3 linked regions of the Rhinolophus ferrumequinum genome follow. The protein of the gene in region 1 interacts with the protein of each later gene in a biochemical or structural test. Links are inferred from orthologs where the notes say so. Each region holds a gene or a part of one and is shown on either strand. Other genes may lie near its edges. The genes, in order: RALBP1, SYNJ2BP and RALA.

Evidence for each region.
Region 2: the proteins of RALBP1 (region 1) and SYNJ2BP form a complex in vitro, tested with the Homo sapiens proteins (2 studies listed by BioGRID and IntAct, with this or other methods). The link is inferred for Rhinolophus ferrumequinum from reciprocal best matches to the Homo sapiens genes RALBP1 and SYNJ2BP.
Region 3: the proteins of RALBP1 (region 1) and RALA form a complex in vitro, tested with the Homo sapiens proteins (3 studies listed by BioGRID). The link is inferred for Rhinolophus ferrumequinum from reciprocal best matches to the Homo sapiens genes RALBP1 and RALA.

What each region holds. Positions count from the first base shown.
Region 1 is NC_046302.1:8,542,526-8,552,850, forward strand, and holds the start of RALBP1 (ralA-binding protein 1), read right to left. Parts: upstream 4,549-10,325; 5' UTR 4,373-4,548; intron 1-4,372. UniProt on the Homo sapiens protein: Multifunctional protein that functions as a downstream effector of RALA and RALB. As a GTPase-activating protein/GAP can inactivate CDC42 and RAC1 by stimulating their GTPase activity.
Region 2 is NC_046289.1:26,977,818-26,988,240, reverse strand, and holds the start of SYNJ2BP (synaptojanin-2-binding protein), read right to left. Parts: upstream 4,775-10,423; 5' UTR 4,653-4,774; coding exon 4,589-4,652; intron 1-4,588. UniProt on the Homo sapiens protein: Regulates endocytosis of activin type 2 receptor kinases through the Ral/RALBP1-dependent pathway and may be involved in suppression of activin-induced signal transduction.
Region 3 is NC_046303.1:53,321,902-53,331,929, reverse strand, and holds the start of RALA (ras-related protein Ral-A), read right to left. Parts: upstream 3,920-10,028; 5' UTR 3,649-3,919; intron 3,523-3,648; exon of another isoform or gene 3,349-3,522; intron 1-3,348. UniProt on the Homo sapiens protein: Multifunctional GTPase involved in a variety of cellular processes including gene expression, cell migration, cell proliferation, oncogenic transformation and membrane trafficking.

The sequences.
Region 1 (10,325 bases):
ATAAACCCTATCAAAATTTCAACAGCTTTTTTTTGAAGAAATGGGAAAAGCTGATCCTCATGATGTTGAAGGATGTTTAGCGCTGGCCACCAGCAAATGCAAATCAAACCCACAATGAGATACCAACTCACCCATTAGGATAGCTAAAATAAAAAAAAAATTAAAAGTTAAAAAAAACCCAAAACAGAAAATAACAAGTGTTGGTGAGGATGTGGAGAAATTACAGTCCTTACACCGAAATTACAATCCTTACACAGAATAGTGAAATGGTTCAGCTCATTTGGGAAACAGTCTGATAGTTCCTCAAAACATTAAACATAAGAGTTACCATATGATCCAGCAATTCCACGCCTAGATATATATCCAAGGGCAATGAAAACATATATCCACACAAAAACTTGCAAATTTTCCTAACAGCCAAAACTTGCATTTCCTAACAGTCAAAACTTACATTATTCCTAACAGTCAAAAAGTAGAAACAACTAAATGTTCTTCAACTGATGGGGAAATAAAATGTGGTATAATCAGACAACAGAATATTATTCAGCAATAAAAAGGAATTAAGTCCTGATATATGCTACAATATCAATGAATCTTGAAAACATGCTAAGTCAGTCAGTCACAAATGATCACGTATGTGATTCCATTTATATGTTCAAAATAGGTAACTCCACAGAGACAGAAAGTAAATTAGTAGTTGTTAGTGGGTGAGAACAGGGGGGATGGTGAGTGACTGATAATGAGAAAGAAGTTTCTCTTTTGGAGTAATGGAAATGTACTAAAATTGATTGTGGAGATGGCTGCTCAACTCCGAATATACTAAAAACCACTGAACTGTACACTTGAAAAGGGTAAACTTTATGTTATATGAATTGTATCTCAATAAAGGTGTTTTAAGAAGAAAGCAGACTCCAATCTTGCCTGTTAAAAATCCCTCCCTTAACCCTTCATCCCCTCTGCTAACACCTCCTACTCTTCCTTTTATAACTAAGACTTGTTTATTCTTGAAGTAATCTTCATTTGCTTTCTCCTTTCTCTGACCACCAAATTACTCCTCAATTCAATGAAAGGTAGCTTCTTTCCATTGTTAGCATTAAGTAGAATGCCACAAAGTTTCTCAGTTATCAAATTCAATATTCTTAATCCTTGCTTTACTCAAATTCTCAAAGCATTTGAAGTATAGCTTCCTTTTTTTAATTTTTATTTTTTTCTGGAGTCAGTTATGAAATATAGCTTCCTTTTCAAACAATCCCATTTGGGATTCTACATTTTTGTCATGATTTCTCTGCATCTCGAAACAGGAAATTTCCTTTTCCAGTTCTTCCTCTATCTGGCTCTCAATGTTGTTCTCCATGTCCTATTTCCAGAACTACTCTCCATCAGTAAACTCTTCCTAGTTCACGTAAATCAAAGGGTTCAGCTACCACCTGCAATAATATACAGCCTGATGACTGTTATCAAGACCTCTCTCTTGTACTCCAAACCCACATACACAACTCTGCAGATGTTTCCACCTGGATGTTTTACAGAAAAACTTCCACTCCGTATATCCAAAAGCTAAAATACTATTCCTCCCCAAATATGGACCTCTTCCAGAATTCCATCTCATTGTTTATTCCATTACTATTGTTTATTCAATCACCCAAATGAAAATCCAAGTCATTTTACCCTACTATTTCTCACTCCCCAAATCCAATTGTTACTGAATCCTATGACTTCTACCTTCTAAATATTTGTGTTATTAACCTAATCCTCTGTATCTCCACTGACACTACCTTTGTTTAGGCCCTTATCTGTCACCTCAAGTATTACAAAAACTCCTAAGCAGTCTTTCTGCATCCTGCCTTATTGTTCCTCTATCTCTTCTGAAATCTATACAATAGCAGAATGACCTTTCTAAAATAAACCTTATTATGACTCTTTCCTGATTAAAATTCATATATTCTATTATTATCTACAGGAAAAAACGTCTACCATCCTTAGAATAGCATGCAACATTTGAAGGATCTATCTGCGCAGCCTCATCTTCTGCTACTTACCATAATCCCAGTATTTATAATTAACTCAACGCTATAGCTGTGGAGAGCTTCCCATTCTTAAAAGTGTACCATGCTCTCTCTAATTATGTCCCACTTTCCCTCTGCCTTAAGTTGCTTTCTCCCCATTTTCTTCCTCAGTCATGCCTAAGCCTTCCTTAAGTTAAAGGACATAGACTATAAAGCACCTGATATAATACTTAACACATCAGGGAGTGGAAATGGATGGGGCTGGCTTAGGCCTCTCTTGTTTATCCAGTCTCAATGACTCCTATGTGCTTACAAGGTAAAGCTGAAATTACTTCTACTGTATACAAGACTATCCATAATTTGGTCTCTGCCTACCTCCCCAGTTTCATGTCTTGCCACCACCCTACATTCTTGCTGGTTACACCTGCGGATCCTACAACTCATTGTGTAAGTTTAGACTCCTGTGCTTTTGCTGGCACTGTTCCTTCTACCTAAATGGCCACCTTTCTATGCATGTATACCTGTTGTTTTCATCCCCTCCTCTACACGCTGTCTCCTTACTACTGCCCCTTCCTCAGTCTCTCCTTCTCTTCCTTAAGAAACTGACCACTTCCTCATTTCTACACCCACTGTATCCGCATACTTTCTCCAATCAAAGCAATCTTAAAAACATATTGTACTTGTTGACATTTCAAGTAAGAGATAAAGTCTTACCACCCTGAAGGCAGGCTACTGCCTTATCCATTTGTAAGTCCTCATCTCCTGGCACAGTACCTGCTACAAGTAATTCCTCTACACTAAATGACCTGCATTTTTCTTTATTGTCTCCTTGTAAACTAACATAAGTTTCTCTTGGAATTTTTCTTTCAGAAAAGAAAGAACATACTTTTGGGTTACGTTCGGGACCCAACCTCTCCTGGTCAAGCATACAACTGTGCAAATAGAAATTAAAGTTAATATGTGTTTTTTTTATACCACTTCTGTTTTTCTAAATGAGGGGAGAAATGGTCCCTCCCAGATCTAAAATGAGAAATACTATTCTGAAGAGATAGCATTTAAGTTATGTCACATTGCTTGAAGGTACTTTGTTTAAAGAATTCTCAACTGTTACTGTTAAACTAACCTACCCTACATAAATTTATGGGTCACTTATGAAAAGTGGGAACCACTCTACTTCCTTCCTACATCTACTACTGCCAATACAGCTTATGGCAATTACTCATCTTCAGCAAGATACTCAGAAAGTAATAATCAAATCACCAAAATAACTCCAAAGGCAGAAAGTGAGGTTACCTTTCTCATTCACAGTCCCATTTAAAAGTGCTGCCTCCGTGACCACCAAACCAAAAGTGGGCCTGTTGCTTATCACCACTTAAATATTTTGTGAATAGCTGCCAAGTATGACGGAATGCTACTCAAAGTGCTCCAGCATTTGAACATGACCACTCCACTAAACAAAAAATTCAGTGATAACTTTTCTAATGAGGCTAGATGGTGTGTTAACTCAACGTCCAAACGACTGTACTTCTTTGACACGCACATTCAAACTATCTCGAGTTAACATTTTAATTATTATCTAGAACTCTTTTAGGCCCTACGGGAATCCTGATGCTTGCTCAAGAGGGAGGCTCTGTAGTAATGAATCCCCAAACTTGAAACAGCATGATCACTTTAGATAAGACTGAGATGTGAAATATTTTGCAAAACCTGTTTCACTCACACAACGATTTAAAAAAAAAAAAAAAAAGCTGACCTCAATAACAGCATTTTGGTACAAGCATACTTGAAAGTGCGCTGTGAAAGGAATTCTGAACCCCAGACTGTCCGTCCATTCCCACTGAAACCTGAACTAAGGACCGCAGCACCCAAAGGAGCCCCACTGCTTCCATGCCAGCGGTGGGAAACATCAAAAGCGTGTTCCTAGTCCACTGGGCAAGCACTAGAGACGGGTCAATATTCCGGATGCGATTAGAAAATAGCGGTTATATAAAAGACAGTCCTCTCCTCCGTTCCGGTGTGCCCCAGAACTGCCCTGAGGCCTGGAACCCCAAGGAGGGAGGGGTTCTGTTCCTGACTCCCCTCCTCCCGACCCCAGGAGCACCAAATCACAAATGCGGCTGCCATGAGGGAGGCCCGGCTGGCAAGTGGGAGGAACGCACAGCGAAGGGGGCGAGAACTGAAGAGAAGCCTGCGGGCTATGAACCCGCAGTGGGGCAGCCACGCCCCCCACCCCCAACTCCAGCCCGGCGTGCGGCTAGCGCCCAGCCCAGCACGCTGCCAGATACAGACGCGGCTGCGGAGAGGGCTCTCCGGACACGCGACTGGCAAGGCTGCGACCCCGCACGCCACCGCTGACCGCTACCAACCTGAGCCCGCCGCCGCGCGACCGGCCGCCCCCGCCACAGCCACCTCCTCCTCGCGTTCACGCTGCCACCGCAGCCACCGTAGCCGCCTCCTGCGCTGCGCCCCAGACCGGCCTTGGGAGCCCCATTCCCAACCCGCCCCAGCCTCCGCCTGTTTACAATGATTGGGACAGAACAAGACGAGCCGGCCCAGCGCGCAAGCGCATTCCCTCCTCCCGCCGCAGCCGGCTTCCCGGGTCCTCTTCTGTGCGTTGACGGCTAAGGCCGACGAGGGTAAACGCCCTGTGCCGTCGCGCGGGGCACACTGGGAGGCGTAGTTCTCGAAAACCCAAGCGCCCAACCTACAGGAGGGCACTTCGTCGAGGAAGTATACTACAACACCCAGGAAGAACCGCGCCTCCTTCGGCCCAGTAGCTCGCTGAGGAGACTGAGGGAGCGCGAGAGAACGCGCCGCGCTAGCGCTCTGTGGGAGCCTGCGCAGTTCCTGGTCTTGGGGGACTGGGTGGGACATACACCTACCCCAAGCAAATACTGTCCGCGTAGGTGGTTTGGGGGCGCTACCTGTGGTGATCTTGAAAAAGGAAATACCTTTCGTCTCCATGCTGTGGCAAGCCTGTTCCTCAGCTACTGAAGTTCAGACCTTTTGTGCCAGCGGGCTTCTGTTGTCCTAACCAGTTAAACCAGCCTAGGAGGCCGGCCCAGCCTGCGGCTGGGTGGGACATCTTCCCGGCCTTGGGCTGGGTGGGGCATCTTTTGCTTGGGGTGGGGACTCCTGCACTGGAGGGAGAGGGAGGTTGTTAAAGCAAGCGCTGTGGGTCTTTAAGGAGAGATTTACATAAAACTGTCGGGACCTTCTTCAGAATTCCCAAAGTGGGTGCTGAAAAAGGAATAGTCCTTGGTTCTTGTGTAACAGCAGGACTGCTGTCTTCCATCGCCCTTTTTGGTTCAACATTTACAAAGGAACATCTGAATTAGAACCGCCCAGAGCATGGTTAGCTTGCAACTAGAACTGAGCCATGAGGAAGACTGGAAACAACTGGGTTTCTGGAGGAAATCCTGCACAAAGGGGTCGTGCGGGGCGGCCTGTGGGGTCTCTGGTCCCGCTCCCCACATAAGAATGCAGGACATGGTGAGGCCAAAAAGGAACACCCACGGAGCCATCGGTAGGGGAGTCATACTACTATATTCTCATTGGCGGCATCCGCCTCTCTGCAATCCACTCTTGCTAGCTCAGCCACCATCTTCTTGCTAGCCCCCATTTTTTACTAGTGTAGCCACGGCAGTTATATTAGTGCCCAATGGCTCACTGGTTACAGCTGACAGCCAACTAGCCACAGCTGATGGCCATTTGATCACAGTCGATGGCCATTTACTACCTGAGCCAGCACCTTTCCATGTGAGGCCGAGAGCCTGGAAACTGCTTTTTGGGGCTCTATCCCCACACTCCACCCCTACGGGGTCTCGCCTCACAATCTACGCGACAAGCGTCTTTCGTGAGGGGCCCTGTGCGAGGAGCCTGGAGGTGAATGCTATTTCCTGGACACAGCCAGGCTCTCTGGGCACAGCCAGGGTTTCTCAGGGTACCACCAGTACTTCTGGGCACAGCCAGACTTCCTGGACTTCTTAGGGTACCACTAGTCTCCCTGGGCACAGCCAGGGCTCTCAGGGCACTGCCACTCTCTCTGGACACAGCCAGACTTCGACTCAGCCAGGGCTCTCAGGGCACTGCCACTCTCTCTGGGCACAGCCAGACCTCCTGGACTCAGCCAGGGCTCTCAGGGCATTGCCACTCTCTCTGGGCCTCTTGGTACCATGGTGGAACAACAGCGACTCACAGTCAAGGTGCTTACATATTCTTGATGGCGGCCGGTCAAGACACAAAAGCAAATATCCGCCAGTACCACTACATGGTGGTATGTTCCCAAACAGTCAAGTGGTCCATTAAATTAGGGATGGAAGGCAATTCCCCACAGTCCACAGTCATTCGCCAGGGCTGTCCTGGGGGTGAGGGATGACCTTGACCTCACCCACATCTCCCACGGAGGACTCAGCAAGCCTTTCCTCCTGGGACAAGTCCCGTGTCTGGGCTGCCTCAGCAAGAACTTCCCAGACCACAGGGCTGCAAGGACCTTTGCTTTCTCCGGCCTCTGCTGGTTGGGGAACCGTCCACGTCTTTCCACCCCTCCACGGGGGTCGAGCTCTCCCCGGCAGCAGCTCCTACTGGTCTTCCTAAGACTGAGTGTTCATATGCACAAACTGCTCCACCGCCCTTCGGAGAGCTTTGGCCGGCACCGTACCCTGCTCACTGCGCCATTTGTCGTGCAGGGGATCCTGCCGACTACGCCATGTGTCATGCGGGGCGGCCTGCGGGGTCTCTGGTCTCGCTCCCCACATAAGAATGCAGGACATGGTGAGAAAAAGGAACACCCACAGAGCCATAGGTAGGGGAGTCATACCACTATATTCTCACTGGCGGCATCCACCTCTCTGCAATCCGCTCTTGCTAGCCCAGCCACCATCTTGCTAGCCCCCATTTTTTGCTAGCCTAGCCACGGCAGTTATATTAGTGCCCAATGGCTCACTGGTTACAGCTGACGGCCAACTAGCCACAGCTGATGGCCATTTGATCACAGTCGATGGCCATTTACTACCTGAGCCAGCACCTTTCTATGTGAGGCCGAGAGCCTGGAAACTGCTTTTTGGGGCTCTGTCCCCACAAAAGGCTTGAAGAATTGTTCTATTAATGCATGGCTGGAAATCAGAGGTCTTTTGAAGTGTTCTTGTTTTATAAAATTTAGCAACTTATTAGGGGAAATACGATTGGGATCGTTGGTCCTTCCCAAACCCTTCCATTCCTACATGCAATGCTCTTTAGAACTTCATTGCGTATTTAGATTGACCTCTGTAAGCCATCCTGCACTATACCTCCCAGATCAGCTTCTCACAAAACTGACAGTAGATCTCTCTCTCCGTTGCACTCTGCATTTCCTACCTCATAAAGTTCAGCCACTGAGCTTGACATTCAAGAGCCTCCCACAATTGGATACCAAGATGGTCTGTGGTAACCACTGTTTTCTGATTGCTTGAAGTTTTTTTTATTGCCCTTTTGGCAACAAAACAATGTCCTCTGACTACTCAGACGGGCATGTCATCATGATAGTTACTCTGCCTCGGGCAACACTGATCGGGCCAAAAGATAGACACTGACTCAAGTTGGTGCATTTCTGAGCCCTTGCTTGAAATTGCTAGACGGATAGGGATGAGAGGGGAAGAAGCTTTTTACCGAAGTAACTGCAGCTGGCCATGTTCTTCACAACACTAAGAAGCCTGTCTGAAGTAGGAAGGGATGAGGCCCAGAGGTGGGGGATGGAAAGGGAGAGACACAAAGAGCTGGCAGCATGAAGACTATAGTTTCAGTTTCAGAGGCCATGATTTTTGTATGACTCTTCTTTAAGTGCTTTGAGTGTGTGAGCCTAGCTAGGTGAGCCAATGCATTTATTTATTATTATTTAGGGCTAATTTGTATAGTTATAGAATATATTTGTTGGTTGCCTCCTGAGCATTTGTTCCTCCCGTTTAAGTCATGTAACATAACCATTCCCTCTAGTGGCTGAGAGTTACAAAGATGATCACACAACCCAATCAGAACCAATGAGCCCCCCAGAGACTTGAGCTGGGACTTCTAGTAAACTGCAGCACACTTCCTCTTCTGGTATGGTGTAAGTATATGAAGTCTGAAAATGTAGCAACTATTTTGTTTCTTCAAGAGGAAAGCCTAAAGGGATAGGGTTCAGGGGAGAGGCACCTGTAGAGACTAAAGATGAAGTCAATACTGTCAAATGAGTGCTGGAAAGGAGAGGAACCTTGTGTTTGGTGGCATCATTAGAGCTGCACTATCAAATCTCACCTGTTTGACCTATAGACTAACCTATACACTACGTAGAATTGTGAGCCATAAATGTCCTGCACTGTTTAATCCAGTTTGTATTGGGTGTTTTCTGTGACTCAAAATTCTAAAAGTTCTAACTAATTCAGTTGGATTTCTTTTATATGATATTTAAATGTCATGACTAATACAAGTTCCTACTTAAAAAGAAACTGGAAGAGACTTTCAGTTATGGCTATGTGATATGGTCAACAATTCCTCTGCACACAAAACAGGTATAATACTGGACAAAATTGTCTAAAACAACCATTTCAGGGCACTAGACTATTAATAATAGACAACAATTTGAGAAACATCTGTTCTTGAAAAACTTCTAGAAATTCTAGGAGGAACAATAGATGTCTATGACCTTCTGCCTGAGACTGCTTTTTTACTGCCCTGTCGTCCAGAACTGTAGTTTTATCAGTGGGTAGCGCTAGCCAAGAAAACAAGCAGCTTTGCTGCCAGAGAAGACCGACTAGATTTGTGGTGGGAGGTAAAAAAAAAACCCATGGCTTTGCCAGCTGGAGGGAGTATAAAATGGTGCATCTGCTGTGAAAGACAGTACTGTTTTTCCTCAAAATATTAAATACAGAATTACTATTTGATCCAACAATTCCACTTCTGAGTATGTACCCAAAGTAATTGAAATCAGGGACCCAAAGAGATATTTGCATATTCACATTTGTAGTAGCATTATTTGCAATAATCAACAGGTAGAGGCAACCCTGGTGTCCACTGATGGGTACATAAAATGTGGTATACACATAGAGTGGAATATTATTTAGCCTTTAAAAGGAAAGAAGTTCTAACTCATGTAAAACAAAAGTCATGAGAATTGAAAGGAGAAATTGACAATTCAGTTATTGGTGGAGGTTTTAAATTCCTCTCTCAGTAAGTGATAGAATAAGACAGAAAATCACTAAGGATATTAAAAATCTATCAACCAACTTGAAGTATGTGACATAAATAGAAAACTCCATCTAACAACAGCAGAATGCACATTCTTTTCAAATGAAACATTGTCCAGGATAGATCATATGGTAGGCCACAAAACAAGTCTATAAATTTTAAAAGGATTGAAAACATGCAAAGTATGTTTTCCTTCCACAATGGCATTAAATTGGAAATCAACAACAGAAAGAAATCTGAGAAATTCCCCAAGTATTTGGAAATTAAATAACCCATCGGCCAAAAAGAAAGCACAAGAAAATTAGAAAATACCTGAAACCGAATGAAAACAAAAATACTGTAAGGGTAAAACTCTGAAAATCAATCACATAGTTAGACTTAGCTAGTTTGCAGATTGATCCACCCTGATATTCTGCTGTTTTCTCTTTGTTTCTCCCCCTCACTGCCCGATTCAATTGCTCTGCTTTCCTAAGGCTAGATGTATACCTTGTTAATCTACCTAATCAGCAGAACACTAACTTGCAATAGACTGAGTCAGCCCTCAGCCTTCCAGACACCGGCAACCAAGCTACAATTCTTGACTGTTATTCTCTGTAAGATGATATATGAATCACCCATAAGACCGGGTTCGAGATAACCATCGCAAAACAAACCGGACCCCAGGAGATGTTCTACCAGAAGAGTCACATGACTAACTCCCCTTTCCTTTGTTCTACTTCTTCTTGTGTACCTATCAAACCTTCTGACCATTCTAGGAACAAGGAGATGTACTTTAGACAGGAGTCCACCATCCTCCCAGTACGCTGGCATTCTGAATAAAGCTGCTTTTCTTTCCACCAACGTTGTCTTTCGATTTTTAACTTTTTCAAGCGGCAGGCAACCAGACCTTAGCATGGTAACTATACAACATATCAAATTTAAGGAAAGCAGCTAAAGCTATACTCAAAGGGAAAATAATTGTATCAAATGCTTATATTAGAAGGAAGACAATAAGCTTCCACCTCAAGAAGGTAGCAAAAGAGGAGTGAATCAAACCTAAGTTAAGATGAAGTAATGAAATAGTGAAGATCAGAATAAAAATCAATGAGTTAAAAGCAAGAAGACAGAGAAAAGGACCCA
Region 2 (10,423 bases), on another chromosome or scaffold:
TACATGAGAGGCACTCAGTAAGAGGTATCTGACACTCATAAGAGGACATCTGGCCTGGGTCAGGAAGGATTCCTGGAGGACGTGACTCTTGAATTGAGTCTTAACCAATGAATAGGAAGGGGAAGGAATCAAGATGGAACCTTAGGGAAAGGTTAAATTTCCAGAGTAGCATTGAGAACGTTTCAAAATCCAGTCTCTACCTCTCTCAGCAACCTCCTCCCCCTTAACTCTTCTTCTATCTAGTCTGGTTTATCACTGACCTCAGAATGTGCTTATCTTCTTTTCTTTTCTCTATTACTGCTTAGGCCATATCCATCCCTGTTCCTGACACTAGCCTAAAGCCTGTCTATAAAACAAACATATGTTCTATCTTCTTGTAATCGATTAGTCTAGCCCTTATCAACAGCTCCATTCTTTGAATTTTTCCATCACAAGGGCAGATTAACACACTCCCCTCCACACTTCCTTTGCCCTCCCACTACATACATGCTCGTCATAGTCTATAACCTTAATCTGCATCTTTGCACTGAGATTTAACTTTTTACATGTGAATGCCATGTCTCCATTGGAACGTAATTTCCATGGAGGCTAGACTTCATGTAATTAAGAGAAAACAGCACAAGGATACAGCATTTTAGTCTCAGATCTATTTAATAGATGAAGGAACAGATCAGAAAACTGTTAACAACAGTCTCAGGGTTAAACATAGAGCCCATGACAGGTCTGTAGAGGCTTAAATGCTTGGACTTAATAGGGTTTCTTGTTTTTAGGTTTTCACCTTGATATGCCCTCAGCTCTATCAACAGCAAACTATAAAAACTTTCCACTGCAGATTATGTGAGTCATTTAAAATGCCCCAAATCCTTCCTGGAATAAGGTATAATGTAACAAAATAAAAGTCAGCAGAAAGGTTGTCAGTCAACTTCTTAGATACGGCTACTATAATGGGAGGAGGCATATGGAATAGTAGAATCAATAAATCTGGGTTAAATTCCTGCCTCTTGAAACTTACTGGCTTTAGAACTTTGGCAAATCCTTAACCTCTCTAAGAGACGATTTCCTCCAATAATGTGGATTAATCACTTACCACTCAGGGTTGCTGTGAAAATTAAATGAGTTAATACATATATAACGTAACTAACACAGTGCCAGAGAGATAATACTTGCTTAATTATTCATTATTAAAACATTATACCAACCCATTTATTCTCTGAAACTCCTTTAAATAGAGTAGAAAAATAGATTTTCTTTCCTTTTTAAAGTTGGTATATCAGGCTCCTTGCTAAAATCCACTGATGCCTCAGGAACAAGGAATCCTAATTCTAATACCCAATGTACAGTAGCGTTGTCTTTATGGACAATCTCTACCAGCTACAGTGAAAAAAAAGCTAGATTAGATTCTTGTCATATTTCTTAAGAGTAACTGAATCTTTCTAACATTAAGAATTCAATTTGACAAAAGAAAAAGTGGGAGGCTTAGAGACTATAATCAAGCTGGACTCCTATAAAAAGAAAAGATAAATAGTGTTCCATAAAGCATAAAAGATATGCTTCAAACCCTTGAAGGCATTTGAGCACCCACTGTTAAACCAAAATGGCAAGAATCATAAAATAACATGTAAAATGTGCCAAAGGATCCTGAATTCTTGGAAGTTAAAAAAAACCAAACCTCCAAAGTCATATGGCCTAAGTCTCTCCTTGTTCAGTTGAGGAAGTTGGTACAGGAGAGAATTCAAAGCATATGCCAAGCTTCTTTTTGCCTCCCCAGATACTCACTTCATTGTCCCAATTTTCCTAAGATTTCATTATTTTCCTTGCAATAAGCAAGATCAGAAAGAATAGTTCATTTGCCTTGCAAAATGGGCCCAAACACTGGAAATATCCAACACTCTTGCCCCTGACAACACTGGCACAAAAAACAAAGGTATATACATTCTTGCAGTTACCTGATTAAACTATCAGGTCCCTGCATAGGAAGTTGTACAAAGACAAACAGTGACAATACTGTCTACAAACAGAAATGCATACTGAGAACAAGAGGATTTTCATAGTTCTATTAAAATAAAGATCTCTATGAGACTATCAAAATTACTGGAAGTTTCTAGTGGTGATAACTGACTTCTTCTCTGTGTATCTCCATGATAACACAATGAAGAAAAGCTGAATTAGACTGTGAGACTTCTTAGGAGTACCACATACCTGGTAAATAGCTGTGAGGTGATAAACAGAAACTTAATATCTTTTCCTGTTAACTGAACCAACCAAACTTCAAATGACTGTTTTAATCCAAGTTCAATACAAAATTTGTGGCTCTACTCTCCTAAACTCAAGTTTATCAACTTATGTGAGTAAGACATGAACATGATTGGGAAAATTGAAGCAGTGACCCAGTGAATAAATCCATTCATTCATTTTGAATAAATGCACATACAATCCAGAAATTAAACTGCTTCTGGGTGAAATATATTAGCTAGGTATAATTATTTTTCTTAATTAGTCCCTTGAGGTTTGTTCTAACTCCAGTGGTTCAGAAAAATGCTAACACTAGGAACTTTAGGTCTGCAAGATCAAGAGGATCAGAAATTTTAGCAAACGGTAAGCTGAACATTAAGCAACACTGTTAGGTAAATACTAAAAAAGGTGAAGTGATACTACTGAACTTTAAAAATATTTAGTGACTAGAACATGCAAATAATATCAGAGTCTGCTCTGCTCTAGTTAAGAGATCCTGGAAATACTGCTGGATACCACAGCAAAAGGACTCTCTCAAAGTACATTAAATTCCTAGGAGTCAAACCTCAAACCACATCACAAGAGAGCTAATGTAATAACTAGGCATATTTAGGCTATAGAAGGAAGAGACAAAACAGAAGAACAGCTAGATGCCATTAAATATATTTGCAGGGCAATCAGAAAATGTATTCCCATTGTCTTAATGGACCCTAGGAAAACAAGCACCAATTGATGAAAACCACAGAAAAACAGATTTTGGTTTAACAATAATTTGCCATATTAGCCTGTAAAGTCAATAAAAATTAAGTGAGAGGAGAAATTTACATAAAATAGGGAAAAAAATGAATCTAAGAGACGGGAATAAGAGCTTTTGACAAAAGTTTAGGAGCTCGTATGGAGCATGACACTAAACCATGCAGATTAGCAATGAATTATATTCTTATAAATAAAGTCAGTTTCCAATGTTTTATAACAAGAAAGAAGGCATGGATGATTCTGAAAGCCATATTTTATGGAGAATAATCTTTGATATGAGAAAAGATGATGGACTGTTCCAGGTACGGGTGATGGGAACAGAAAGGAGTGGAAGGTTTACAGAAACATTTCAGAGATAGAGCTCATGGTACTTGATGACTTATTGGAGACTCTTGGAATAACAGTATTTAGTGGGATTTACTGTGTTTATCTAACCATTCATCTATTAAAAATAATAACAAAAGTAGCAATTACGTAGTGCTTACCAAGTGTCAGGCAATGTTCTGCATGTTTTACACAGATTAACTCATTTTGTTCTCCTAACTCTATGATGCGCATTGTACTATCGTGCACATTTTACAGACCAAAAACTAAGAATTACATCAGTAAAACTGGTCAAAGAATAAATGTCAAAGAACTAGTAGGAGATTAGGTACCAGATTTGGACCTACATAATCTCAAAGCTAAAGCTCTGAATCCATACCCTAGAGAGCTGTAAAGGAAAGGCAACAAAATTCTAGGCAGGCAGCATGTAGTAATGTTAAGATGTTAACATGTAGTAATGTTGAGTGAGTGAAGAGTAATCAGGGGTAAGAGGACTGTAGGGGTAAGTGAGGATTTGGCCGTATCAGAATCAGGTAACCACTATCCATGTCAAGAAACAGAAAACTGTTGGCAGGCCAGAGCATATGCGCTTGTTTAAAAAAAGAAAAAGAAAAAAAAACCCAAACCATAAAACACCTGCATTGAGTCCAAATTCCTAGAGATGGGATCTAGGAATTAAGTTGCTGGGGTTTTTTGTTTTGTTGTGCTTTTTTAAGCAAACCCAAAAACCCTGGCTAATTTTGAGGCAAAACCAGGTTTGGGAACTGCTCTAATAGATCACTGAGGCCTCTTCGTGCTTTAATATTCTAGTTGACATTTTCCCACAAACAAGAGGGGAGCGAGGGATACAAGCACCAAGAAAACGGCTGAGTATTTACAGTCCACACCATTTATGCTCCCATTTTTACTAAACAGTCTCTCATAGGAACAGGTATAAAGCAGGCAATGGAAGGAGGGGTGTGGTGTTCACGGTATGCTGGCTAAAAAGCAGGCTTTCCCCCAGGATTTTCTGGTACCATTTAGCAAAAAGGAAACCCGTCATGACCATAAATACATGTGGTATCCGACTCAAAAATGAGGTGGATTCCTCAGATCCATGTCTGGCTAATGATGGATACCAATATATTCTTCTACGTGCTCAAAAGCGTTGCAGGAAACCTCTAGCTTGGGGCCTGCCTGCTCCGAAGCCAAAAGAATCTGGCTCAGCAAAAGAGGTGTTTGCTCTGCAATTACACCTCAAGTACCTACTACCAAAGATGACCTGTTCCGCACATACCTGAGGGTCCTCTGGTAAGATTAATCTCTTCCTCAGTGACCAAATAATCCACTCTTCCGTTCATGTTTTACTGCCTGTCTGGCTTCCCACCTGGGTCAACTAGGGCTCGCACAGGTGAAGGTGAATCAATCTCGGCGCGGCGCCCAAAACACACCACTTTCGATTTTAGCTGCCCTCGGACCGGAAGAGGAAGCCGACAGCGCTGGGAGCGTCAGGAATGCTGGGAGTCGTGGTTCTGGCGCGGAACGCGTTGCGTTACCTCACCCAGTCCTCAAAGCGAACTGAGAAGTGAGCGAGGAGCAAGATACCCTCTTAATTTGCTTTGGGGGTGGGGGGAGGAAGGATAGTAAAAGTAAGAGACATAAATAAATTGATATTGTCGAGGAAAAATTAAAAATAAACTCTCCTGCCATCTCAGAAAATCTCCACAAATGAAGAAAAGAAAAAAAGAAGAAAAAAATCTCTATTACTCAGTAAGCATTAAACCAGCCTGGTTTGGGTGTCTCAGGAAATCCGCTAATGGGATTACAAAGACAGAACTCTCACCCTTTTATGTAGCCAAGCTGAACAATCTGTTACGTGCATATTCTCATGTAAGAAGTTAACAACACCATTCGCTATATACATTCTTTGGTAAGTCGCCCTTGGGGTTACAATCTGTTACTTGACATTATCCAAAGAAAAAAAATAAAACTATCTCTACGACAAGCAGGTACATAAAGCTTGGAGCATGGCACCTAGGGTAACTCCTATAGTAAAGTTAGGTGGGACAATATCTTCCCTGATAGTTACATTTCAAAGAGTTGGCTCCCAGGACTTTGAGAAAAACTTTCCTGAGTTGTCCCTGACTAGAGGCTTGTTTAGCTTTAAAAAAATATTTATAGACATATCAATGGGACAGTGGAAGGATTTATAATTACAGATTTGCTCAAGCAAATCATTTAAAGGAAAAGGAGGAGAGGTCTCTTCATTTTGGTAACAGGGAAAAGTCAACCTTTTTTTTTTTTTTTAAGACTAGTGGATGAACTAGCTGTGACTTCAACCCAGCTTCCTGACTTTTGAGGTAGAATTCCAAAACAGGGCTTTAAGGAACTGTCAAGGGTCAAAAATTTACAAGCTTGAAGGGCCAGGAAGGTGATCTAAATGTGGGAAGAAACCTGGACAGACCACAGGAAGTAGTGGGGACCTTGGAGGACCAAAAAGTGCAGTTCCAATTAATGCAATTCAAATTCAGATTAAATAATCAAAACAGAAGCTACTGTGTTTAGCAACAAAACAAGAAAGAGGCAGATTCCTCAGGAAGGCCTCTTATTTGCTAATCCTGAGAGAAGTTAATATGGAATAGTGGAAAGAACACAGGAGGTAATGTCAGAAGACCTGATCTCAAGTTTTGGTTCCATCTTCTTCCAGTTGTCAGGCTTTGAGCAGGGAACATAATATCTCCTGTGTTCCCCCATCTGAAAAAAGGGAATAATACAGATTTTTAAAAGGTTGTTGAAAGGATTAAATGAGATGGAATTTTAAAAATTACATCTCAACTTCCAACTCATATTCCTACTACTGTCACACCCAACCGTCCTCAACATATGTTGGTTGAATGAGTGAATAACAGGATCATAATGAAAAGCAGAGTATGATAAGTGACAAAACTAAGGTATAACTAAGGGACATTGGAATACCAAGAGAGAAGAGATCAAATAGAAATAAGAAAAGAAAATCAAGAAAGTCATCAATGAAGAAATTTGGAGGAAAAAAGTTTTTTATAGACTACTAAGGGGGAAATCACTACTCTGTACCTGGGAAGAGAGTGCCCTTTTCATCTGGGCACACAGCTTCAGCAGAAACACAAAGGACAGTAAAAAGAAAAGAGATACCAAATAAGTTCAGGAAATGCTGGCTGTAAGTGGAGTGACAGATTAGGTGTGTAAATTGCCTTTATATCTTAATGTAAGTATAGTTTTTTTAAGAATGAGGAAACTTTAATATTTAGAGAAGCAGAAAACAGGACATAGGGATTTCCACTCAGAGAAAACAATTGAGAAAAATTATGGAATCAGGATAATGATGGGAGTAGTGAAGGAATAGCAAATAGAGTTCATGAGCGAAAAAGCAGAATGGGATGGTAGGTGATGACACTGAAAAAATAGGCTAGAAACAGACTGTGGAGGAAAACAGATTGTGGAGGAAGTGTATGCAGAAATATACACTTAATTTTATATGCAATATGCTAAGATGGAAGTTTGTTTCTCTCATATTAAAGAACTCTGGAAATAGATGGTTCAGGCCTGATATTGAGGCTGCTCGGTCATCGTGGTCCAAGTTCCTTCCTTTCTGTCTCCACCCAGTCCCATCCCTGGAGTGTGGCCTTTGCTTCATGGTCCAAGATGGTTAAGATGGGTTTGGGAACTTCAACCATCATTTTCACATTCCAAGAAAGTAATGAAGAAAGGGCAAAGAAAGGTCCACTCCATACTTTAATGGAGACCTCTTGGAAGTTTCATGCACTTCTTATATCTCATTAACCAGAAGCCTGGTCTTATGGTTAAATGTAACTATAAGGGAGGCCTAGGATGTATTTTAGTGGAATGGAAATGTGCCAACTAAAAAAAAAAAATTAAAATCAGGGTTGCTATTATAAATTAAAAGATGAGAACGGATATTGGGAGGCCATTGGTAGTCTCTGACACACAAAGCGACACTTTCTGTCTGAACTAGCCTTTCTATTTAAGGCTTTATGACCTTGAGATATGTAAAAATTATGAAACTTGGTGACTTCAGCCTATTTACAAGATTAGTGGAAACTTTGCCTCATACCTTGAGGTACTTTACCCATAACTTGCTCTATTTTTGCACATTTCATATCATGTATTCACTTTGTCTTTCCAATCTCCTGTCTGCTTCTACCCCCTCCTACTTCAATATTTTATTCTATCAGCCTCTTGATGACTAACTCATGGATGTGTTTGTATTTAGGACTTAACCACCTCTCCTTTGATAGGCATTAGTTCCAATTTGCTGCCCTATAACTGACCTCTTTGTTTTCAAACTCTTGCATATTTTTTTAAATGAGGTGATTAAACCCCTTTGTGATTGACACATTTTTTGTATTATTACATTTAATCAGATTGTATTCGTTTGTTAGAGCTACCATAACAAATACCACACACTTAGTGACGTAACAATAAAAATTTATTTTCCCACAGTTCTGGAGACTAGAAGTCCAAGATCAAGGTATTAGCAGTATTGGTTTCTTCTCAGGCTTCCCTTCTTGGCATGTAGATGTCTGTCTTTTTCCTCTGTGTTTACACGATCTTCTGTGTGTGTACAGATCTGTGTCCAGATTTCCTATTCTTATAAAGATACCAGTTGTATTGATTTAGGGCTCATCCTAATGACCTCATTTTAACTTATTTACTTCTTTAAAGACCTTATCGCCAGCAGGCCAGAAAGGATTGGCACAAAATATTCAAAGTGATGAAAAGCAAGGACCTTCAACCAAGATTATTCTACCAGCGAGGCTATCATTTAAAATTGAAGGACAGATAAAGAGCTTTCCAGACAAGAAAAAGCTAAAGGAGTTCACTGAACCAGTATTACAAGGACTATTAGAGGAACTTCTTTAAGATGGAAAAAAAAATCAAAACTAGTAATAATAAAATGGCAACAACTACATATCTATCAACAATTACTTTCAATGTAAATGGATTAAATGCTCTAATAAAAAAACATAGGGTGGCTGAATGGATAAGAAAACAAAACCCCTTGTATGCTGCCTACAAGAGACTTCAGATAGAAAGTCACACACAGACTTAAAGTAAAGGGATAGAAAAAATTATTTAATGAAAATGGGAAAAAAAAAATAGCTGGGTTAGCAATACTTACACCAGACAAAACAGACTTTAAAACAAAGACTATAATGAGACAAAGAAGGACCCATAATTCCACTTCTGAATATTTTTCCGAAGAAACCCAAAACGCTACTTCAAAGGGACCTGTGCATCCATATTTTCATTGCAGCATTGTTTACAATGGCCAAGATGTGGAGGCAGCCTGGGTGTCTGTGAATGGAAGAATAGTAAAGAGGAGGTGGTACATATATACAATGGAATATCGCTAGACCATGGAAGGGAATGGGTTCTTGCCATCTGCGGCAGCATGGATGGACATGGAGGGTACTGTGCTGAGTGGAGTGTCAGACAGAGAAAGACAGATGCAATGTGATTTTGTTTATATATGGAATCTAAAGACCAAAATAAACAAACAAACAAAACAGAAACAAATTCATAGATACAGAGAACATTTTGATGGTTGCCAGATGAGAGGAGGGTTGAAGGGGGGGGGGGGGCTTTGAAAAAGGGGAAGGGATTAAGCAGTACAAATTTGTTGTTATAAAGTAATCATGGGTATGTAGGATATAGCATAAGGAATATAGTTAATAATATTGTAATAACTATGTATGGTATCAAATAGGTACCAGATTTATCAGGGTGATAGATGGGAGGAGGTTTGCGGGGGCAGGGTGAAAAAGATGAAGGGATTAAGAAGTACAAATTCGTAGTTATAAAACAGTCATGTGGATGTAAAGTGAAACATAGGGAATATAGTCAATAATATGGTAATAACTATGTATGGTGTCAGCTGAGTGCTAGACAGGAGGATCACTTCTTAAATTACAAAATTATACAAATGTCTAACCACTATGCTGTACAACTGAAATTAATATAAAATAATATTGTCAAAAAAATTAAATATACTTTTTTTTAAAAAACGACCGTATCTCCAAATATGGTTATATTGTTAAGGTTAGAGCTTTAACATATGAATTTTGTGGGGACAAAATTTATCCCATAAAACAGATTACAGTGAAGTCTTATAGACTTTAGAACTGCTCAATATCTTTAAGATGGTACTGAATATCTGCTCCAGCCTATTACAAGTTGGTTTTACAGTTTAACCCTGATAGCAGTATTATTTCTTTAACTTCCAAGTTCTTGGGGAAAATTGCACTGCAGACCTTAACTATTTTTTTTTTTAAAGATTTTATTGGGGGGGGAACAGGACTTTATTGGGGAACAGTGTGCACTTCCAGGACTTTTTTCAAGTCAAGTTGTTGTCCTTTCAGTCTTAGTTGCGGAGGGCGCAGCTCAGCTCCAGGTTCAGTCGCTGTTGCCCACCACTCCCTCCGGGAGTGGAACCGGCAACCTTGTGGTTGAGAGGACGCGCTCCAACCAACTGAGCCATCCGGGAGGCAGCGCAGCTCAAGATGCCGTGCTCAATCCCAGTTGCAGGGTGCGGCGCCCACCATCCCTTGCGGGACTTGAGTTGAACCGGCAACCTTGTGGCCGAGAGCCCACCGGCCCATGTGGGAATCGAACCGGCAGCCTTCGGAGTTAGGAGCACGGAGCTCCAACCACCCGAGCCACCGGGCCGGCCCCCAGACCTTAACTATTGATAACAGCAATTACCAGCAAGGTATTTACAATGATCTCACCTTATAGCAGCCTTTTTAATTGGTACTCTCCATTCTTTTGAACACACACACACACACACACACACACACACACACGGTGCCAAAAAAAATGTATACACATTTTAAGAAAGGAAAAAACTGTATTAATTATAATACTCAATATATACCGATAACAAAAGATGAATACAAGTCACGTTTGACTTCTGCAATTACAAGAGGTGCTCAAATTGGTTACCATCAACCTCCAGACATTTCTGATGATGGCAAACTACTGCTTGAGCATAGATAACAGTTCTTAAAATGTGTATACTTTTTTTGGCACTCTTGGTACACACACACACACACACACACACACCCTCTTCACA
Region 3 (10,028 bases), on another chromosome or scaffold:
TTTGTTCACAAATCTTTTACAAACTCAGAGCTTTACCTTAATTTCTTCTATATTATAACCAAATCCTTACGAGTAAAATAATAAGAAAGGTGTCTTAGAACTAAAGAGAAAAACAAAGAATAACTGTTACTAATGAAGGCTAGATAATGAGCTGCGTTTTTTTAAAGCTATGTTTTTTACGTAGCTATATACTTTTTTAAAACTAAGAGATGAACACATCCTTCAAATTAAGCCCATTTAAAAATGCATTAAAGGGCCGGCCCGGTGGCTCAGGCGGTTAGAGCTCCGTGCTCCTAACTCGGAAGGCTGCCGGTTCGATTCCCACATGGGCCAGTGGGCTCTCAACCACAAGGTCGCCAGTTCGACTCCTCAACTCCTGCAAGGGATGGTGGGCAGCGCCCCCTGCAACTAAGATTGAACACAGCACCTTGAGCTGAGCTGCCGCTGAGCTCCCAGATGGCTCAGTTGGTTGGAGCGCCTCCTCTCAACCACAAAGTTGCTGCTTCAACTCCCGCAAGGGATGGTGGGCTGTGCCCCCTGCAACTAGCAACGGCAACTGGACCTGGAGCTGGGCTGCACCCTCCACAACTAAGACTGAAAGGACAACAACTTGACTTGGGAAAAAAGGCCTGGAAGTATACACTGTTCCCCAATAAAGTCCTGTTCCCCTACCCCAATTAAAAAAAAATGCATTAAAAAAAACAAAACAAAACAAAACTGCACAGACTTGAATAGTGCAGAGAATTCTTCTAGCACTGAATAGCAATTAGACCCTTACAAGAGTTCTGCCCTCTTTAAGACTCCATATTAAATTCAAAGAGAAAATGATACATGGTCTGAAATAGTAAAAACAAACCCAGTACATCTTTGCTTCTTTTACCATGCTTCCACTTCCCTACAACCTCTCCCTCCACTGCCTCCTTTAGTGAAAGAAAGGAAAAACAACATGGTTTCAGGAACAACTAGGTTTCCAATAGTTCTCTCAAATCTCAAATACGTCAGAGGCAAAAAGCAGTCATCAAATACCAGAGATGAGTTCCTAATACTCTGCTTTTCCAGGACACTTACAGGAACAATGCACAACCTTTTTTTTTTTTTTTTTTTTTTTAATCACAGCAGCCATAGAAGGTGATAACGCTGTATTTGTAGGCACACTGGAGATAAACAGAAGACTGGCTACTGCCTGAGGCCACCTGGCCAGGGTCACTAGTAACCTCAGGCCCCACTTGATAATCAACAGTGCTGAGATCAGTATCTTCACTTTCCTCAAGCTCAGATCAATCAAAATCTCGTTTTCCTCAGCCTTTTAGGATTAAATGCAATACCAATGCCCTCAGAAGTCGTTAACTGTTACTATCAGGAGGGTTGATGGTAATGTCAATGAGATAAATTGCAGGCTTCCCTCTCCTTAGTGTCTAAGAATGAAAACATTTTATAAAACAATGGAAACCATGCACTGTCTCCCTACTTCTTCTAAATGATAATCTTTTTCCTCATTAGCAGCCTCTTATTAAAGTATTTTTAAAGTGACTGTCTTTGCCACCCATCTACGTAAAGGTTCCAAGTATATATACACTAACACACACATATACAAGAAGTGATACTGGTACACTTATTTACGCTTTGTAGAAGCTGAGCTTGCAAAACCAGTGCAGGACCACCACCTGACATTTGGAAAGGAAAGAAGATATAAGCGCTGCACTTTTTTATTTGGACCTCCATTAAGTGAAAATAACCCAACCATCTACAGTCAAAAACCATCTCCCACACAATAGCAGACAAGATCATTCCGTATAATGAGCCCTTTTTCCCCTGAAAGCCCTGCGAAGACAGTGTTGTATGAAGAACTGCTTCAAAATAGATGATACAGATGACTGCATACTCAGCAGACACACCAGAGAACAGCACCTGAATCTCTGAAAAGAAATGTGAAAGTGCTGTTGGTGGGTAAATCATGCCAAGGGCGTATCAGGACGTCAGAGGATTTCATGTATCCAGGGGGAGAATGAGCCCCATAAGCAATTCTGTGATGCACCACATTTCCCAAACAGCGGTAACTCCCAATTTCCTCTTTTTGATTAAGATAGGGTATGGTTATCAACTCCAAACTTAAATCTACTATCACCAGAAAATCTCCTGATAACCTTGGACAAACATGCTCAAGTGGTAAACATTGAACAATGGAATACAAGTTATTATGATCCCCAATCACAGTACCCTACAGATAATTTTAATCTTTCAGGTGAGGACAGTATTTTGAGAGAACAGCAAAGGATTCTTCTCGAATTGTTCTTTGGCCGTGCTAAAGAACACAAAGTCTGTATGTATCAACAAACTGGAACAAAAACAAACAAACAAAACACCTAACCCAAAATAAATGACTCCAGGAAGGCAACTGTGAGATCACCTACACATTCATTCATTCAGTGAAGAAAGAATGAATAACTTCTGTGTTCTAAGCCAGGTATCATGGAAACACAGAGATGAATAAGACATGGCTTCTGCCCTGAAGAAATTCAACGTCTAAAAATAATGTTTTTAGAGCCACAGTCATTATATAATAATAATGGATTAATACACAGAAAAACATAAACCAATATACATTTAAATGTATTAGTAAACATAAGCTAAAAGAAATGCCTTCTACAGTGAGTTTACTAATGAAATTTGTTATCCAATTTTTTTGGGAACGTGATTAAAGTTGCAATTTACTTTCAAGACCAGAATTAACTTACGCCCTGTTTTATAAAGGTTTCCCCTACCACCACCACCATCAAACACAATTTGTAAATTAGGTGCTTTTCAGCTTGACACACCAGTAGGGCGTGGCACTGGAGTTCTCACACAACCTCAATGACACTTGGATGAGCTCACACAAGTCTGGACATTCTGGTTTCCGGGCAAAGGCCAGTTAACTCCTTACTTCTCTCTAAACCTTGAAACAACACTGCGTGGTCACCCCCGCCCACTTACCACATATACCCAGGCTAACGCGTACAAACCACGTCTTCCACGGGAACACCTTCAGGAAGGAACCACGGAGGAAACACCCCCTCACTCCAAACATCTATATTTTCCCCGTTTTAAAGGCTGGGTTACGCGAATATGGGCCAAACCCGTGCAAGAGCCCAGGACCAGCCATTCGGTTCAGTGCGAAAAATCTAATGACTTCATTCTGAAAAAACCATTCCTTCAAAACTGGCACAAAACCTTGGCAGGGATGCTTAAAAAGCGACTGCTCTAGTACAGGCAAGAAGTGGAAAGAAAGGGACGAGGGGAGAGGGGCGGAGTGAAGCACGGTGGCGGCGGGTCCCCCAGGTCGCGGGCACCGCCCAGACCCGGACCTACGTGCTAGGGCCAGAGGTGCGGCGTGACCTTCCAACCAGGCCAACTCGGAGCAGGTACCCGGCGCGGGGACCTCGCCGCAGCCTCCCGTCCTCCGGGGTGCACTCGCCCGCACAGCGGCGAACACGGCGCCCGGAATTCCAGCTCGTCCTGCAGCTCGTTTCGGGCAGAATACGGGATGTGCAATCTCGGCGGCCGGCCCTAAGCAAGGGCCTCCGCCCGCCGCCGCCAGGACACACCCCCGCCGCCGCCCCTTCGGTGGCCCCCGCCGCTCCCGCAGCGGCCCGCGCGGGCATCGCTCACCTGCACCGCAAACCAGTCCACCGCCTCCAGGGCTCCGGAAGCCGCGGCTGAGCTGACCTCGGCCGGAGAGTGCTCGGCCGTTTTCCGGGAGGCTCCGCGCCGGGAGCGGCAGAAGGAGGAGTCCGACGGGCGGCGGCGCGGAGCCTGGGCGGCAGGAGGAGGAGGAAGAAGAGGAGGAGGAGGAGGAGGAGGAGGAGGAGGACTTCGGGCGCCCGGCTCGAGGGAGTTCCACCCTCCTCCCCAAGGCTCTGCAGCAGCCGCCGCAGATCACTTCCGGGACGCTGGGGAGAGGGGCGGAGCCCCAGGGGGAGGGACTTCCTGTCCTCGGGCAGAGAGTAGGGTATGGGGGGCTCGGGCTGGAGAACAATGGCTGGAAGGGCGTGGGCTACCCAGTGTCCACCCTCTGCGTGTTGAGGGCGGGTTGCGTTGCCTTTCGGGCGGCCTGAACCACAGCTGCCTCCGCCCGACAAAGTGAAGTCACCTCCTAAGGGGCCCGGGAGTGGCCGCCGCCTCGTGGAGGTCCCCGGATCTCGGCGTCGGTGCCGCGACGTCCTTGTCTCTCTTCTAGGAGATTAAAGGGAGTTCTTGGGGGAAGAAAGGGGAGACCGAAGGCCGCCATCTTGCTTCTAGGGGACAGCCCCTTCTCCCGCGGCGTCCTAGTATGGAGGCCGCTCCGTCTTGAGGCCGGGATTTCCTGGAGTGGAGCCAGCGATGTGGCTGGTCACCGGATTGGTCAGTCGCCTGCCCTGGCTGGAGGGTCTCGGTGGCTGCCCCTGGCCTCCCGTCTAACTGCTGGTTCCTGGAGACCTCGCCTCCGCGGGTTGTCGAGCCTTTTCTGAGGGTCTCAATCCCCCTAGGGCACTGCGGCTCTGGGGTGGCGTTGAGCTTATTCTGGTGTCCCACCCTGTGATTTGGTAGCTTAACTTGGAAGTAGTTCCACAAAATCGGTTGCTTTATTTAAATTCTTTCACAGATTTGAAATAGGTGGTTTGCCTAACATTCGTTAGCAGCTACAGACCCTTATGTCTTGACATTCTCTCATCTCCCTCCACCCCCAAATTTGGTACCAACTCCCGTGCTTTGCACAACCCATTCAAGGAATGTCCAGTCTAGTGGGTAGACAGACGTGGAAACATATAATTATGATTGCGAATATGGTATATAACGTATACAGAGGAAAGAATTGATGATACTAACTGCGTTCGATTTTAAAGATAAATAGGGGTTTCCCAGCACAAAAAATAGGGGATGGGATGGCAAATCCATATCCTGACAGGCCATGCAGCACAGGGACAAATAATGTGTGTTGAGAAATCTGAGTGGTGATTACAGAACTTAAAAGTTCAAACCTGAGTTGCTGAAAAAGATGAGGCTGGAGAAGCAGTCAGGAGCCAGATCATGAGAACCATCTTTCCAACCGTGGCGATGCAATGACTAAAGTGGAGTAATGTCCCAGGATAGTTGTACAATTTAAACTGTAGGTGGAGGGCAGGTTAGCTGGGAGGAGCACGGCAAGCAGAGAGCTTATAGACAAGCAATTGCAGAAATGAAAAAGGATAAAAGGACCATTATGTGAGTGGCAGCCAGCATCCAAAGATGGATTCCTAAAATAGTCAGGAGGCCAAATCAACTGATTTTGATAATTGACGGCCGGGGTCAGGTGCTGGATAAGAGAAGGGGAGTGGCAATGATGCCATGTTTTGGTTTTTGAGGAGGATTACGATAGATTTTACCAAACAAGATAAGGAAAGATTGGAATGGGATGGGTGAGGGGGTGCAGAAAATGAGTGCCATTTTGGACCTGGTGAATTTGAAGTACCAATGGTTCTATCTAATGGCAGTTGTTATATGGATCCAGAGTTCTGGAGAGGATCTAGGCTGAATTTAGAAACACTCCAGGTTTGTATTACCACATCCAGGCAGACTGCAGTCTCACTTCACTGAGCAGTTTCAAAACCACTTCTCCTTTCTCCCTACCTTTTCTTAGGAAAATTGCTTAAATATTACATTAAAAACACCCACATGTTGTGATATATGCCCCTCCATCGGCTAATATTCAAATGCTAATGGTCTAAGGATCATAAAGGTTAGGCTTACAGAGAATTGAATATGACAGTGGTAAATAGTATAGCATCATAAATTCATAAAATGAAATGTAATTCTAATAAAAAGGTTTTTAAAATTTAATCATTGACAGTGGACATGCTGGCCACAGATGGATTGAGAAGGAGTGAGTAGGTCCTGCAAATACCTGCTGAATGGAGAACTGGAAGGAGGATGACTTCAAAAATAAGCAATGGGAACACAATGCAAGACAACTTTAAATTCATTTATCAGCTGCGTCTTGGTTGTTCACAGCCATGCGAATCTGTCTTAAAGCATTCAGAAATAGAATGGATATTTTGAGCAGACACTTCAGAAAACCACAAATAGCAAAAGCCCTATAAATAATAGCTACAGTGTCAAAGACTTAGTTTTTATTCTGTAGCATTTTGAACACGAAAAATGAGGAACTCAACATATCTTTAGTTTTCAGATTATTCAAATACATTATTTTCAATTTTCCCAAAATAGAAATACATTTAGGTATATTAACCATATAATGGATAATATACTGAACTAATATACTGAACAGGACATGAGAACAATGATCTTGAGTCCCTTTTTTGTTCGTTGTTCATTGTATGACAATAGCAAAGTCACTTACCCTCTCTAATACCTAGTTTCTTTGACTCAGATAGAGATAATAACTTTGTACCAGCCTGCCTCTCAGAGATACTATAATAAGAAATTAATGCTTTATAAGCTCTTCGAAGTACTTGGATGGAAGGGCATAATTGTAAATGCATGTTAATAATTAGCACTAATATCAGTAGAACTCATGAGCATTCCTAGATTTGCTGCCTGGGCAACTCAAAGGTGTTGAAACAGAAACATGAAAGAGTCTGTGTTAAGATTTCTTTTTGATTTGTAAGTTTAATTTTTATCTATGATCAAACCTGTATTTTAAAAGATAGATTGAGTAAAATGTAAAAGGAGAGAAGTTTTAATAACTACTACAATTCTTAAGTTCACTGCTACTTATAGATAATAAATACTTTTGGGAGAAGTATATGGTAGGTATGCTTTTGTTAGAATCATGTTTCAGGTTTAACAATTTGCTGCTGTTATTGAACTGAAAATTTCTGTTAAAAGTGTTACTCATGTCCCTACAGAATAATAAGAATTTATATGCAGTTAACATGTTTGTCTGAATCATCATGAAGGTGAACATTCCTGTGAAGCTCCTGTCATTTCCATCATTGTTGAACCAGAAATACAAAAACATAGTCCCGTGAGGTTTTGTCCAATGTCATGTTGATGTAAGAAATGTCCGAAACTGTAGAAAGATTTTATAAAATTTTATTTGAGCCAAATTGACAATTATTGGGAAGCAAGATCTCAAATGCTCCAGAGATTTGACAACTTTGCAGTTTCTTTTATGCATTTGAAATTGAGGGAATGTAAGGAAGATTGCACGAAAGTGGGAGAGAGCAGGTGGGACTGGATTACAGGAGAATTAAGGTTATGTTCTCTCTTGAGGTGGTTACATTTATTTCAAAGGTGCATTAACCTAGGTGGACGAAAATAATGGACAGCATCTGCTTAGAGCAAAGATAAAGAAGTTATATGCCTGGGTGTGACTAGCCACCATGACCTGCACAGTTAGGGATTTGATCAGATTGCCTGGGGAAGTTACTTTCAGTAGGACCCTTTTTGTCCACTGTCTGTCCCTAAAATAGATGAAATTTTACCCATTAGATTGGTGGCTTCTGAATTTCTCTTGAAAAGTGTATGCATATATGAACACATTTAAATATATTTGTAGTTATATAATATGTATATATATGTGTACTTATCATATATCAATTTATAAAAATATTATGAATGTATATTAACTATACATGTAGTAACAACAACAAAACTTCTGAGGTGTGTTAGAGGCCAGACAAGAAAGTAGTTGGTTAATAGCAATTTGTCACTATTGAGGAAAAACAACTCAAAATACGTTTTATTATTAGAATTATGAGCATTGTTTATAACACCTTAATATTTGTATTATTACATTTTGTTTTCACTACTTTGTGAGATAAGCATTGTTCAAAAAAAAAAAATAGAGACAGAGCTTAAAGACTTGCTACAAATTGTCAAGTAGTGTCGAGCGTCCAGCTGCAACATGGGCAGTGAGAGAATGAGAAGGTGTGGCAAAGGGTTAAAAAAGAAACAAAAATCAAGAAAGTTTTGAAATGGGCCAAAGATCTCACAGCCTCAAAGGACTGAGAGCCCCAAACCGGCCACCTTGTGGCTTTTATTGATGTACATACAAGGAAGTAGCATTGTTTTTTCTAGGGTCTGCGAGTCTCATACATCATACCAGAAAACTGGTTCAAACCAATCACCCTTGCCTGCCGAAAGTCCCATGATGTATAAATAATTATTGTTTGTACCTCCCCAGGGGACAAAACCTTTATGTTGAAAACCTACTGAGATGGAGAACTGATGTTATCACATCTAGAATCACTTCTCAAGCAGGTTGTGGGAAGGAATACCCTGGGAAGCCACAGAGGCAGAAGCTCTCCTTAGATGGGGGAAGGTAGGTGGGGGTCTATACCCACCTCTATCAACCCCATGAATTCTCCTGGTGGTCCCCACACGACTGTGCCTATCTTAGGTTGTTCCTTTCTTGAGGAATCTTACCCGTCATTGGCTAGCCAGCCATCCTTTGGGGCCAAACAAGGAGATGGCATAAAGGTGAAGCAATGTCCCTGAGAGGAATAGTCTCACAGACTCTTCTTTTTTTTTAGGGGTAGGCACGAGGGGACAGACAGCCAGGCAGCTGCATGACAACGAAGTAGCAGAGTCAAACTCAAATTCTTATCATGAGACTCAAATGCACTGTTCCTTCTAGTAGTTTATACCAGGGTTACCAGCTTGATATGACAGTTATGCGAGAGTATGTATAGTATGGTTTATAATATGCATATGATTAATTGCCTGCAGAATCTCTAAAATTCAGCCAAACTTAAAATTTTTAAACTTCTTATGTTTATGACTGTATCTTCACTGCCTTGAAAACAGGCACTTAGTCTTATTCATCTTTGTATCCTTCATGGTATCAGGCATAAGTATCTAAAATACTTTAGGGCTGAAAATAAATATATTGTAATGATTAAATAATTTAAGGGAAAAAAACCCATATAATCACCTCTAAAACTTTTAAGTGTGTGTGCGTCTTTTCTGCGCATCCAGGTAAAGAGCATTTGTTTTTGTGTGTTTTGTAACAAATTAGTGAGGCCATTGCCTCAGTTTCCTGCTTCATTTTCATTGGCATCAGGCCTTGGAGGGATAGGCTTAAGTAGGTGCCATAGATGACACTCACCAGTATACCATTCTTAATGTTTCTTTTGGATGCAGATATTCTAGATGAACCTTTTGTCATCCCACTCTAATGAGAATCTAGAAAGAGTGGAGGTGTGACAATTTAGGTCTTTATAATGCTTGCCTTCATATCCACCCTTGTGGACCACATATTTCCATATTTTTTTCTATCAGGATTAGAGGATGAGACTACTAGAATAATAGTTCCCAAGCATCGCTGATGATCAGAATCACCTGTATAGCTTCAAAGGCAATTCAGATTCTCAAGTCCCACTCTAAACATAGTCCATCAGAAAGTCTTGGGTAAAGCCCAAGGTACCTGTAACACCCTCCTGTGAATTCTGATCACCAGTCAGGTTTGAGAAGTTTTGGTTTCAGTAACTTACCCAAAGTCACGCAAAACCTTAAATAAAGCTGGAAACTAACTCGAATTTTATGAGCCAAAGTAAGTTATCGTCACTGGACTTTTGCTGTTGTTTTACTGACTGCATGTGATGGGGTGGAAAGGTGGAGAGGAAGACAGCAATTTTATTTATTTTATTTTTAACATTCTACTACATGGTTTTCAGAGTAAATGAGTTAATAATATCTGTAAAGTGCTTAGAACAATGCCTGGCACATGGCAAGTACAGGTAAGTGTTAACAAATAAATCTCCATTGTCTAATTCCAGCATTCACTTTGTCCAGGGTTAAATTAGGTAGAATGTATTAGATGTAAACATTTTCTATGTAGAAACAAAATGTATGTAAATAATGGTGGAATCCTCAGCCTTTTTTATCCACGGAAACTATGAATTTGTATAGCTGAAAAAATGTCTATATTGTTTCTTTTAATATTTTTGATGTATTAAGAGAAATTTTAATATACTAAGTAAAAATTTGTATTTGCAGCTGTGTAGTATTTTTATATCCTTTTATTTAAGATATAGTTAAGGTACATGGGATAATGTATTTTACCTTGT